3 linked regions of the Oryctolagus cuniculus genome follow. The protein of the gene in region 1 purifies or fractionates together with the protein of each later gene. This does not show direct contact. Links are inferred from orthologs where the notes say so. Each region holds a gene or a part of one and is shown in the gene's direction. Other genes may lie near its edges. The genes, in order: RAB1A, GDI2 and GDI1.

Region 1 (4,240 bases):
TTTTTAGCTCAGTATGAGTGCTTGTGCACATTTGTGTTTTTACTCAGTGAAATCACAGTAAGCAGGAAGGGTCTAGGATTTTAGAGTCCAGGGTAAGAAACATTCTTTAATCCATTCAGGGTCCTTTTCCTGGAGTGGTGACCATGTTCAATTCAGAAATCAACATCATATACAGGAACTCTAGCTGACTGTTTGATGAGGCTATCAACTAAGGTGCATGGTGGGATTTGGGGGTTAGGAGTGTAGTTGGTACATGGGTAGAAGTGAAGAATTACTTTCTTCCCATATTTTGGTGCCATAGGAGTTTTAAGTGATTTTGCAATCACTTAAAGTCTCAGGAGATAATTTTCTTGGTTCTTAGAACCAGTTGGAAGATAAACTTTGGACAATGTGTTATACTATGCCCTTTGTAATTAAATAACCCAAGCAAGATAATGTGTTAAAGTTTAGTGGAGATTTAAATTCCTGAGCTGATTAAAGAGAGCTGGTAAGCCCATAAGGTTGTTTTTTTTTTTTTTTTTTATGTGTTAGTATTACTCCTGGAGTCTGTGGGCACTATATAGTGATGAATTGTACGTTTTTATCGCTTATTACTTTCCAATCTTGCTCAGAATTAAGTGGCAACTTTTAAAGAGGCAGAACAATTCAGCCTGAAGGCTGGGCCGAGAGCAGGTAGACTCAACTCTTAGGCCATGCCTGGGCTGTGTCCCACCCCTGGCTGTGGAGCCCTTGAAGGTTGTGGGGTCACGGTGGAAGCGCTGTGTGCGAATGGGCTGGGGCATAGTCCACTTGCAGGCAACTGAAATGTCCAGGCTGAGGTGACATGACAAGAGTGGGGCTGGGCCAGGACTGTAAAAATCAAAAAGAAAACGGTAGTGACCGAACCCGGGTGGGGTCGGGTGAGTGAAGAGGGCTGCGCGCAGTCCAGGGCGCCGGAAGTCCTCGGCAGAGGCCCCCGACTTTCCCGCCGCCCTCTGAGCCTACGTCCTCGGACCAGCGGCGAAGGGCAGGCCTCAAGCCCGTCGGGCCTGCGAGAACCGCGCGGGGCTCAGGGGCCGCCAGGCGCGCGCCCCTTCCCCCACGCTCGGGCCGTCCCACCAGGCCAGACCCCTCCCGCCCCGCGGTCCCACCGTGACCCCCATCCTCCGCCCCGGCCGGTACCGCCCTCTGCCTCTTCCCACCCCCTCCCCCGTGGGGCGCTGACTCGCCCGGCTGCCACGTCTCACTGGTGACATCACCGGGGCCTCTCGGCCTTAGCCAATCCGCTAGGGGGAGTCCGAGCGAAGTCCTAGCCAGCGAGTCAACGGGGAGGGGAGCAGGGAGGGGCGGAGGGTGGGGGGTGAGGGAGTGGGGAATGGAGCGGGCGACAACCGCACAAGTACGCATGCACCAGAGTCGCGGGGCTTGGCGGGAAGCGGAGTCCCGGCCGCCTTGCCGCACCGTCGGTCTTCTGCGCGTGTAGCTGCGCTCGCGACTCTCCTTCCCGGCATGCCACGCGCCGAGGCCGCCCTCCGGGCCGTGTAAAGACCCCTTGGTCCGAGGCTTCCCTATTTCCTGGTTCGCCGGCGGCCATTTTGGGTGGAAGCGATAGCTGAGTGGCGGCGGCTGCTGATTGTGTTCTAAGGGGACGGAGCGGGGGAAGACGTTTGCTCTCCCGGAACAGCCCATCTCATTCCTTTCCTTCGATTACCCGTGGCGCGGAGAGTCAGGGCGGCGGCTGCGGCAGCAAGGGCGGCGGTGGCGGCGGCGGCAGCTGCAGTGACATGTCCAGCATGAATCCCGAATAGTGAGTGCAGGAGAACACCGGTCGGCTGGGTCGGTGGGCCAGCTTGGGAAGCTTAAGCGGGGCGAGGAGGGCTGGGGCAGGGGCGCGGGCATTGGCCCGAGGGAGGCAAGGGTGACGGGGCCTTAGAGGCTTGAGGCCGGGAGTCGGGCCCCATTGTCTGACGGCGGAGGGGCGGCCGGGGGGAGGGGTCGGCCGGAGAGGTGAGCGGCCCGGGCCTCGGCCGGGTCCGCCTCAGGGCCTGAGTGCCGGGCCGCTGCGGAGGGCCTTGGGGCGTTGGGCAGTCCGGTGGCGGAGCGGCCTGAAGGGTCAGCTTCCTCCGGGGGCAGTAACTTTGGAAGGGGCATTTGTTTTTAAGGGGAGGAGAAGGGTGGGAGAGCTCCCCCAGAGGGCACTGTCAGACCCCGCGCCCGCGCTCTGCGGAGCTGTCAGGATCGCCGGGTTGGAAACCAGCTTTACTTGTAAAGCCTGAGCTTGCTGGTTCCCTGTCGTGCCACCCTCCCCGCCAGGTTGCAGGTAATATGGATGCTTCTCGGGACTGCGTGGGATTGAGGGCAAGGAGCGGAGAGATGGTGAGCAGCGATTTAAAATGCTTAGTTCTCGTTTGGAGTTATCTCCTGGAGGAGTTCTTTAAGAACTTGCCTGGTCCATCGCCCTCCCAAAGCCCTGGACATTTGGGAGAATTTGTTGTTAGAGGACACCTAAGTCATTTTGTCTTCTATAGGTCAAGGGAGGGAGAAAAAAAAAAAACAGAACTAAAACCAAGGGTACTACCGAATTGGACAAGGACTACTGTCAAGTTGAAAGAGAAACGAGTGGGACCTATGGTAGATCGTGTAGGTTTTGGATTACCTACTTGAATGCTTGTAGATAGGGAATGAGCTTCCATGACGTGTCATGAAAAGTTAATGCATTTCTTTTCCTTGCTTACTCAAGAGGTCACCACAACAGATGTGACACACCTGGCACTTTTCCTGGGAACTAGTGTTCACTTGCCTTGGGGAAGAGTTTAGTTGAGTTCTTTATGGCCCTTAAGAAAAAACACTTCCTACAGTTTACATATATGTAAATTAATGAAAAGTTGATAATTTAATTGGTATTCTTCAGCGCCGGAAACCTTTTCAGGAGGATTTCTAAAAGCAAAAATTAGTATTTGTCCCAAAAGTTTTTTTATTTTTTGCTTTGGTCAGTTACTGGTAGACATATCCCCCTGAAAAGTCAACTCTTCAGTTTAGCTGACTGTCATGTGTGTGTCACATGACTGTTGCAAAACGCATTCTGACTTCAAATTTTGTAATATTGTGGTTTGATGCTGAAATATCTTTTCGTACTAAACAGTAGCTATACGATTTTACTAGAATTTCTTACTTGAAAAATTTGCTATGTTGGCAATTTTTTCTTTATCAAGGGCTCCGAGGACAAAGTTGGTGTTACGTGGTTAGCCCGAGTTGATGTAAGGTTCCTAATTAGTGTTTATCCTGGAAGCAGTAAAGAACATGAATTTTTGGATTTGCCACTATATGGAGATTTTTTAAACCTCTGCTGTTCAGGGAGGTTCCTATATTTGCTACATATGTTTAGTACTATAAATAGACCTTGAAAATTAATTAGTTGAATGAGATTTTGAGAAATTACTCAGCTTCAGAATTTGTTTCTCCTTTTGTAAAATAGGATAAATAGGAGTCATCCTTACCAATGTAGTGGTGAGATTCAGATACTTCCAGACGAATTTGGAAAATGGTAAGAACATTCTTTTGGAGGTAGAAATCATTTTCCTGTAAGGCATTCTGATAGTGCTAGGGTTTAACAGTGCTATGGTTTTATAAGTTCCCCAAGGAACTTATAAATGGAATATAGAATGTAGATTTTTTTTTTTAGAATGTAGATTTTATGCATATCAAATGTCAGTAGATATAGCAAGTTCCAAATATGCAGTATAGATTGGAGCAACAGGATTTCAGAGGAATGTAGTGACTTTGGCTTGCCCATTGGGTTTTGGAAGACTCTGGAAAAGAAACCTGTAAGGATGTTATTAGCAGTGAGATTTGGAAGAGCAGAAAGGATCGAGGAGGATTTTTCCAGGGGCAAAAAGGAAGGATGGCCAATAAATGGCAAGGACTATAGAATTTAAGTAAGTGTAGTGCCAGATCATCCTTTCTTTTAAGAACTTTAGATTAATGATCTCAACAGAGTCAAACTTAGAAAATCTTTTTATATTTTTTTCTGGCATCTTGTTTGCCAATATCTAGCCTACTGTATTTGCATTCTGGACTGTCTATTAAAATAGTCCAGTAGTTTGGGAAAACCTTTGCAAAAGTGTTAATGAAAATATCTTAGGGTGATAGTAAAAGATGGCTATTTTAGGGAAGATCGGGGGCAACCAATAATCAGATTTTTTTTTTACCAATCTGACTTCATTGATCTCTTTTTGTCTTTAACGAAGTTTAACATTGTAAG
Region 2 (2,916 bases), on another chromosome or scaffold:
TGATTCATATCAGGAATTGAGTTTCAGCCCTAAATCTTGCCTGTATTATAACTATTATTATTATTTTGCATTTAAGGTTTATATTAAAACAGGCAGTTCCCTGGATTTGTGAAGATCTTAAAAAAATATATAGGGAGTCTGGTACTAATTTTTTAAGATTTACTTATTTGAAAGGCAGGGTGACAGAGAAAAACGGGGAGAGAGACTGATTTTCTGCCTGCTGGTTCACTCCCCAAAGTGATCACAATGGCCAATGCTGGGCCAGCTGAAGCTTTAGGAGCCTGAACTCCATTCAGGTCTCCTATGTGTGTTATGGGGGCCTGAGTAATTAGGCCATTTTCTACTGCCTTCCCAAGCACATTATAGCAGGGAGCTAGCGTGGAAGTGGAGCAACCAGGAATAGAACTGGTACTCTAATGTGGGATGCCATTGTCACAAGTAGCAGAATGCCAACCTCCAATAATTATTTTCTATATTGCAAATTATGCAGTTGTTTAGAATAGTGATATACAGACCAGGTCTGGTATCAGGACCTGTGAGTCTGTTAAACTAGTTCATAAAGGTCTTATACTGATCTGCAGTATCAAATGAAGGAAACAGTACTTAATAAATCTTGTTAGCTATTTAATGCAAAGTCCTAAGTAAAAGAAAATCCCAGAATAGTTAATATGGCTTGTTAGCTATTATACAGCAGGGAGATTTCATTTTCATGTTTAGCGGTTCACTGCCACATAATTTTTAATCGTTAAATATTTGAATACTGTGGTTGTGTTTTGTCTCCATGTAGAATGTTTATAAGATCTTGCCTGCTTCAAGTAGTGTAAATTAACACCTTGATGAAATATAGTGAAAAGTTAGTATGCTAAGTTTTATAAACAGGTTTATAAACTTTAGGCATTGAGCTGCTATTATTTGTTTCTAGATATCTATGTCTGCATGATTTCCTCTGCACACAATGTGGCAGCACAAGGGAAGTACATTGCCATAGTCAGTACAACTGTGGAAACCAAGGAACCTGAGAAAGAAATCAGACCAGCTTTGGAACTGTTGGAACCAATTGAACAGAAGTGAGTGTTGTGTTCATTTATATGAACTAAAATCCTAATTGGGGTCTTGATTTTGGCTTTGGGGGGTGGTGGTTTGAACATGATAACAAGGAAGGCAACCATTGGGTTCTTGTGGGTATTTCTTAAACTGAACCATCTCTACCAGTCTTACCTTTTGTGTTTAGAAATTCAGCAAACAATTATTAGTTTGAGGCCAACTAACTTGGCAACCTAATTCTTTTTCCCCTCCAGATTTGTTAGCATCAGTGACCTCCTTGTGCCAAAAGATTTGGGAAAAGAAAGCCAGGTGAGTGTGGAGATCTGAAAAGGATATTAGGCTTCATTGCAAGATATCCCTTAACAAATCATAATTTTTATGATTTTTATTTCCAGATCTTTATTTCCCGCACATATGATGCTACGACTCACTTTGAGACAACTTGTGATGACATTAAAGACATCTATAAGAGGATGACAGGATCAGAGTTTGACTTTGAGGAAATGAAGCGCAAGAAAAATGACATCTATGGGGAAGACTAACAACAGTACATGTTACTAAATTGGGACAAATTTAAAATTTGGCAAATAATGCATATTGTATGAAATCAGTATTGTAAAGCCTGCTTTTGTAATTAAAATGGAGGGATTGAAGAGCACTATACCAGTAAATATTCCTCCCCCTTCATCTTTCTAATATCATGTATTAACTTCTGTTCTTGGAGTGGCTATTCAGAATTGGCAGGTTACCACGTTCTGTTCCAATTTAACCAAACCACCCCACATCCTGTGAAAGATCAGTTTTAAACAAACATTGTGATACTGATACAGAGAACTTGATACAGTATTTTTATCTTTTAATCAGCATAGTCTTGGCAGTTGTGCCTCTGCTGCTCAAGAACTGTATCTGTATGTCTGTGCCATCTGTCCTTATGACACTGAGATCCTACACTGAATATTCCATAATTTGAAACAGCACCCCCAAGTTCTCCCTCTAATTTTGTTTTGTGTTTTATCACATATTATGGCAGGTCCCAAATAGTATAGCCACAGATTTGGTTTATGTGGGCATAAATTATAACCAAACTCCAGAGATAGGGAGTCATTTGGAGGAAGCCACTTTGTGGTGTTTTAACTAATGAAATTGGTGAGACCAAGGGGAAAGGAATCGGTCATAAAGCAGGTAAAATGTAGAAGTATCTTTTATATCACAGGTGTGGCTTCTTCAATGGACCAAGCTGCAATGCAGTATTGATTTGACAGAGCCTCTACTTTAGTCTGTCTGAAATGGCTCCAAATGATTTCTGTACTGCAAAATAAAGCCAAATTCTGGATACCACTGCTCTCTGTATTGGTCTGTGTCCTGATTGTAACTATTAGTGTTTCCTTCAGTAAAGCTGAAAGATGATAGAATCATAAGGTGTGCACAGTATCAAAGAGCATATGTGGCTCCTGATCTGGACAGATCAGAGCAGCCCTTGTCATCATCTGGCTTCAGTATGAGTAGACCCCACATTTTATTCCTGATACTATATAGTATACGATGCTTGACTCCTATTGATGTTAAGTAGTGGTAAGCCTCACTGTACAGGCTATTTATTACTAAGACTTTGAGGAGGGAAAAGGATACCAGAAACACTAGCAGGTCTGTGAGGGTCTAAGTGGTAGGATTGCTCTGGAAGGTTAGTTATTCCTGTTTAATGGCCCGAGATTGCTAAGACAAGGTGTTTTTTTTTTTTTTTTTTTTTTTTTTTGCCATAAAATCATTGCAGAAACTTTGGTTGGATGCTTTTGGGTTGTCTTTATTAAAAAAAAAAAAAAGAAACAAATTAGTTACAAAAACTTTTGTTCCAAATAGATACTAAGTATCTCA
Region 3 (4,267 bases), on another chromosome or scaffold:
GACCACAAGGGCCCTGCCATCTCTCTGACCCAGATCGTGTGACCCCGTGCCAGGGGGGAGGGGTTGTGGTTGTGATGGTGTCCAGGTTGTCATTTTCCCACCTTATGGTACATGGCACCCAAGGACCCCCTCTTGCTACCATAGCATGAACCCCCAGCTCCCCTCAGCCTGTCTCACTCCCTCATCAGCCTGCGGAGGGGCTTCCCCGAGGCTTCTCCCAGCCCTCCTGACAAGGTGTAGATATTCTGCATAGATTTTAGGCCTGTCTCCCGGGTCAGCCATGGGAAAGCACAGGGGCATTAGTTCTAGGGTCCCCTTTCTCCTCCCCTTATTTATTCTTCTCTATCTACCATAAGCTCTGGCTGTACATAGCGCTTTTGTGTAGCAAGTTCTCCCTCCCCCAGCTTTATGGGGCTCCCTACAGCAGCCAAGAGCTTCAGGTTGCCCGAGGTTGGCAGAATGTGGAAGTGACCACTTCTGTGTCCCGCTTGGCTGTCGTTGTTGTATCCTGGTGATGTTGTGTTAACAATCAACACTGTGCTGGGGTTTATTTCTGTGACTTCAGGAGGAAGGAACCTCCATGACAGGTGGGCTGGGCGTGACCACTGTGTTTCAGGAGCGCCTGGCAGGAGCCTGGCATGCTCCATTGTCTCCTTCCTAATAAAATAAAGATGGGTCGCCACACGTTGGGCCTCTTGTCATTCGTTTCTGGACTAGAAATGAGGAAAGCGTTGGACTGAGGGATGGGAGGAGGGCAGGAGGGCGGGCGGGTGCGGGGAGGGGGGGAGGTGGCCCTAGATGTATCCCAGCCAGGCCAAAATCCAGGAGCCAGGGCCCGCCAGGGACTCTTTTAGCAAACTGGGCCCCTAACCGGTTAAGGTAGGGAAGGAGTGGTCGGGACAGCGGTCGCCGCGACAATGGCAGCTTCAGCGTCGTGAGGGGGCCGCCCCCGGCTGCTGCAGCAGCGCGTGCCCGGCCCGCGGGGCCGCGCGGAGCCTCCCGGGGGGCGGGGCGGGGCGGGGCGCGCGCGGCTCCCGCGCACGGATCCCTCTCGGACCGCAGTACCGGTCATCGGACCGCCCCGCCTAGCTTCCTCTGGGTCCTTGGCAAACGGCGACGCCGGCAGAGCCGCACTGGTGCTAGGGCCCGAGTACCGGCAACCCTCTTAGGAGGCAAGCCAGGGAAGCGGTGATCACTGCTAGGCGTGGTGGGGCCTGGGGAAGTGTTGGGACTTTTTGACGCGGCGGAGGGGTCAGGCGGCGTTCGAAGTGCCGCCATCTTTGGTCCAGTGCGGCGGCGGCGGCGGCGGCGGCTGCTGCTGTGGTGAAACGGGAGGAGGAGCCGAGCGGGCGCTGGTACCAAGGCCTGACCATGGACGAGGAATACGATGTGATCGTGCTGGGGACCGGCCTCACCGTAAGTGTGGCCTCGGGCGCCTGCGCCTCCGCTTCGTGCCTTCCCGAATCCCTGCGATGATGCAGCCGCTGGCCGCCAAACCCATCCTCCCATCATTCCTATCCTCTGCCCTTGGGTCCCCGAAACGCCAGCCCCGTACCCACCCCACTGCCTTCTCTTTCCCCACTCCCCAGCCCCCTTGGCCTCGCGACGTCTTCTCTGCTCGCTGCCATGACCTCGAAGCGGGGTCTCCTGGCTGCTCCCTTGACTCCCTGGTGCCGACTCCCGGCCTCTCCCATCTTCCCTACCCTGCCCTGCTGGGCCGGAAAACGTATCCCCCACTCGGCCTGATGCCCCCCAGTCCCTCCCATCCAGTCCCCACCCATCGCCCCCACCCATCACCTTCCTAGTATTGTGCCCCCCCAACTTATACTAATCTTAGTAGGGGTGAAGTACGAGGACCTGGGGTTAGGGGGCCTTGCCAGGTTGGGGCCTCGTCCTGTGTTCCTGGCTGCTTCTGGGATCAGAAGAGCCAGGGAATGTTCCAGAATAACTAACAGCGAGGGCAGTGACCACATTCCCGCTCCCCCACCCTGGTTTCCCATGGAGACCTGAGGCTGAGCAATATCTGCAGCCTTTGTCCTTGGGCTGGTGACAGTGACTAGGGAGAATGTTCATCGTCCCCCTTCCCCCACAGCGTGTTCACCCGCTCCCCTGAGAGACACATTTCCCTCAGGCCAGGCCCAGATGCCCCTCCTGAGCCCAGGTGGGGAAGGCTTAGGGTCAGGGGCTCCTGGCCTTTGACGACGGAGCAGCCGAGGGTGGGGCCTGAGAGTCCAAGTGCCTTTCTTCACTTCCCTTTTGGGCGCCCTCTGCGGCCTGGCCAGGTCCGCTGTGTGCCTCATTGTGTCTTATCTGCCGGATTGTGCGGCTCTGCACTGATAGAGGACTTTCTTGGCAGTCGGTGCCATGAGACTGTCCTTGTGTCTGCTGGACACTCTGTCTCCCCCGACTCCTTCATTATTTCTCTCTGGTTCACCTCTGCTTAGCAGGGTAAAAAAGGAGACGGGCGGATGTAGCCATCGCCACCAGTGTTAGGCAAGGCGGCGGCGGCGGAGGCTGGGGGCGTGGAAGGAGCTGTCCATTGTGGCAGGCTTGGGGAGGAGAACAGATCAGGGCTGCTGGTGCGAAGTGGGCAGGTGGGAGCGCACCGGCTGTCCTCACACCCCTAGGAGTGCATCCTGTCTGGTATCATGTCTGTGAACGGGAAGAAGGTGCTGCACATGGACCGGAACCCCTACTATGGGGGCGAGAGCTCCTCCATCACTCCCCTGGAAGAGGTAAGGCTGCCAGCCTGGCCCAGGCCGGGCCCTTGGAAACCTCTCACTGGAGCCATAGTGTAGCAGCAGCGGGTGGCAGGGAGAGGGAGGGCCAGTCCTTGAGGTGTCTCTCTCTCTCCCCCTCCTGCTTACAGTTATATAAGCGTTTTCAGCTGCTGGAGGGGCCCCCTGAGTCGATGGGCCGGGGCCGAGACTGGAACGTTGACCTGATCCCCAAATTCCTCATGGCCAATGGTGAGGGAGATGGAGGAGCTGCTGCGGTTTTCCTAGGGGCGCGGTGGTGACTGGGAAGGACCGGAGGGGGTTGGGCTCCAGACAAGGGCCCGCCAGGCTGGCCAGAGCTCCTGCAGGGAGCTGTGCTGATGTTGTCCCCACCACAGGGCAGCTGGTAAAGATGCTCCTGTATACGGAGGTGACTCGCTACCTGGACTTCAAGGTGGTGGAGGGCAGCTTTGTCTACAAAGGCGGCAAGATCTACAAAGTGCCATCCACTGAGACCGAGGCCTTGGCTTCCAGTGAGTGTGGGTCTCCCGACCTCAGGGCGGGTGGCAAGGTAGACACCGGGAGCCGGCCACTGTACGCCCGAGGCTGCATCCCCTGTGAGGTAGCAGATGGCCCTTGCTCTGTTCCTGCTGCTGCCATGTGCCTCACCTCACAGCGGCTTGCTAGCAGGGCGATCCGCGTGCAGAGAGGAGTGGAGGGTGCTCCTTTTCGGAAGCCTGTGACAGGGGCTCCGCTTGAGCCCTGGAACATCTCTAAGTGTCGGAGCCAAGAGGGCCTTCAGAGTGTGCCCGGCCCAACCCCCTCTTCACATGGGTGGGGAAACCGAGGCCGAGACAGGTAGATTACGCTAAGGTCATGTGACAGACCTCACTGGGAGCCGGGATGCCAGCTTTCTCGGCCAGCCCACGGGGGTGGGGTTGGGGGGGGGCGGGAAGGAGAATTTTGTATTCTAGTGCAAAGGGTCCCCCCTTGCCGCCTTCTTCAGATCTGATGGGCATGTTTGAGAAACGGCGCTTCCGCAAGTTCCTGGTGTTTGTGGCAAACTTTGATGAGAATGACCCCAAGACCTTTGAGGGCGTCGATCCCCAGACTACCAGCATGCGTGACGTATACCGGAAGTTTGACCTGGGCCAGGATGTCATTGATTTCACTGGCCACGCGCTGGCACTCTACCGCACTGATGAGTGAGGGGAAGCTGGTGTGGCGCGGTCCCCTTGCCTGGCCTTTACCCTGCCTCCCCAACACCTGCCCACTGCTCCCTCTGCCTACCCTGCACATTTCTCGTACTCAGCCATAGGCTCCCCTGTTGCCTGTCCGCCCCTCCCCTGCACTTGACCCCCCGGCTCCCCTGGGCCATTCGGGGTGGTGGGGTGAGCCAGGGAGCCTGTTGGAGCATCTTCCCTGACCTCTGTCCCCCCAGCTACCTGGACCAGCCCTGTCTGGAGACCATTAACCGTATCAAGTTGTACAGTGAGTCCCTGGCCCGGTATGGCAAGAGCCCATACTTATACCCACTCTACGGCCTGGGC

Evidence for each region.
Region 2: the proteins of RAB1A (region 1) and GDI2 purify together in Homo sapiens (affinity purification with mass spectrometry; 6 studies listed by BioGRID and IntAct, counting the BioPlex papers as one, with this or other methods). This does not show direct contact. The link is inferred for Oryctolagus cuniculus from reciprocal best matches to the Homo sapiens genes RAB1A and GDI2.
Region 3: the proteins of RAB1A (region 1) and GDI1 purify together in Homo sapiens (affinity purification with mass spectrometry; 7 studies listed by BioGRID and IntAct, counting the BioPlex papers as one, with this or other methods). This does not show direct contact. The link is inferred for Oryctolagus cuniculus from reciprocal best matches to the Homo sapiens genes RAB1A and GDI1.

Annotation. Positions count from the first base shown.
Region 1 is NC_091433.1:137,617,440-137,621,679, forward strand, and holds the start of RAB1A (ras-related protein Rab-1A), read left to right. Parts: upstream 1-1,337; 5' UTR 1,338-1,763; coding exon 1,764-1,786; intron 1,787-3,476; exon of another isoform or gene 3,477-3,600; intron 3,601-4,240. UniProt on the Homo sapiens protein: The small GTPases Rab are key regulators of intracellular membrane trafficking, from the formation of transport vesicles to their fusion with membranes.
Region 2 is NC_091444.1:79,669,193-79,672,108, reverse strand, and holds the end of GDI2 (rab GDP dissociation inhibitor beta), read left to right. Parts: intron 1-922; coding exon 923-1,067; intron 1,068-1,298; coding exon 1,299-1,353; intron 1,354-1,439; coding exon 1,440-1,586; 3' UTR 1,587-2,382; downstream 2,383-2,916. UniProt on the Homo sapiens protein: GDP-dissociation inhibitor preventing the GDP to GTP exchange of most Rab proteins. By keeping these small GTPases in their inactive GDP-bound form regulates intracellular membrane trafficking.
Region 3 is NC_091453.1:132,666,771-132,671,037, forward strand, and holds the start of GDI1 (rab GDP dissociation inhibitor alpha), read left to right. Parts: upstream 1-1,371; coding exon 1,372-1,416; intron 1,417-2,627; coding exon 2,628-2,735; intron 2,736-2,869; coding exon 2,870-2,969; intron 2,970-3,115; coding exon 3,116-3,250; intron 3,251-3,723; coding exon 3,724-3,922; intron 3,923-4,158; coding exon 4,159-4,267. UniProt on the Homo sapiens protein: Regulates the GDP/GTP exchange reaction of most Rab proteins by inhibiting the dissociation of GDP from them, and the subsequent binding of GTP to them. Promotes the dissociation of GDP-bound Rab proteins from the membrane and inhibits their activation.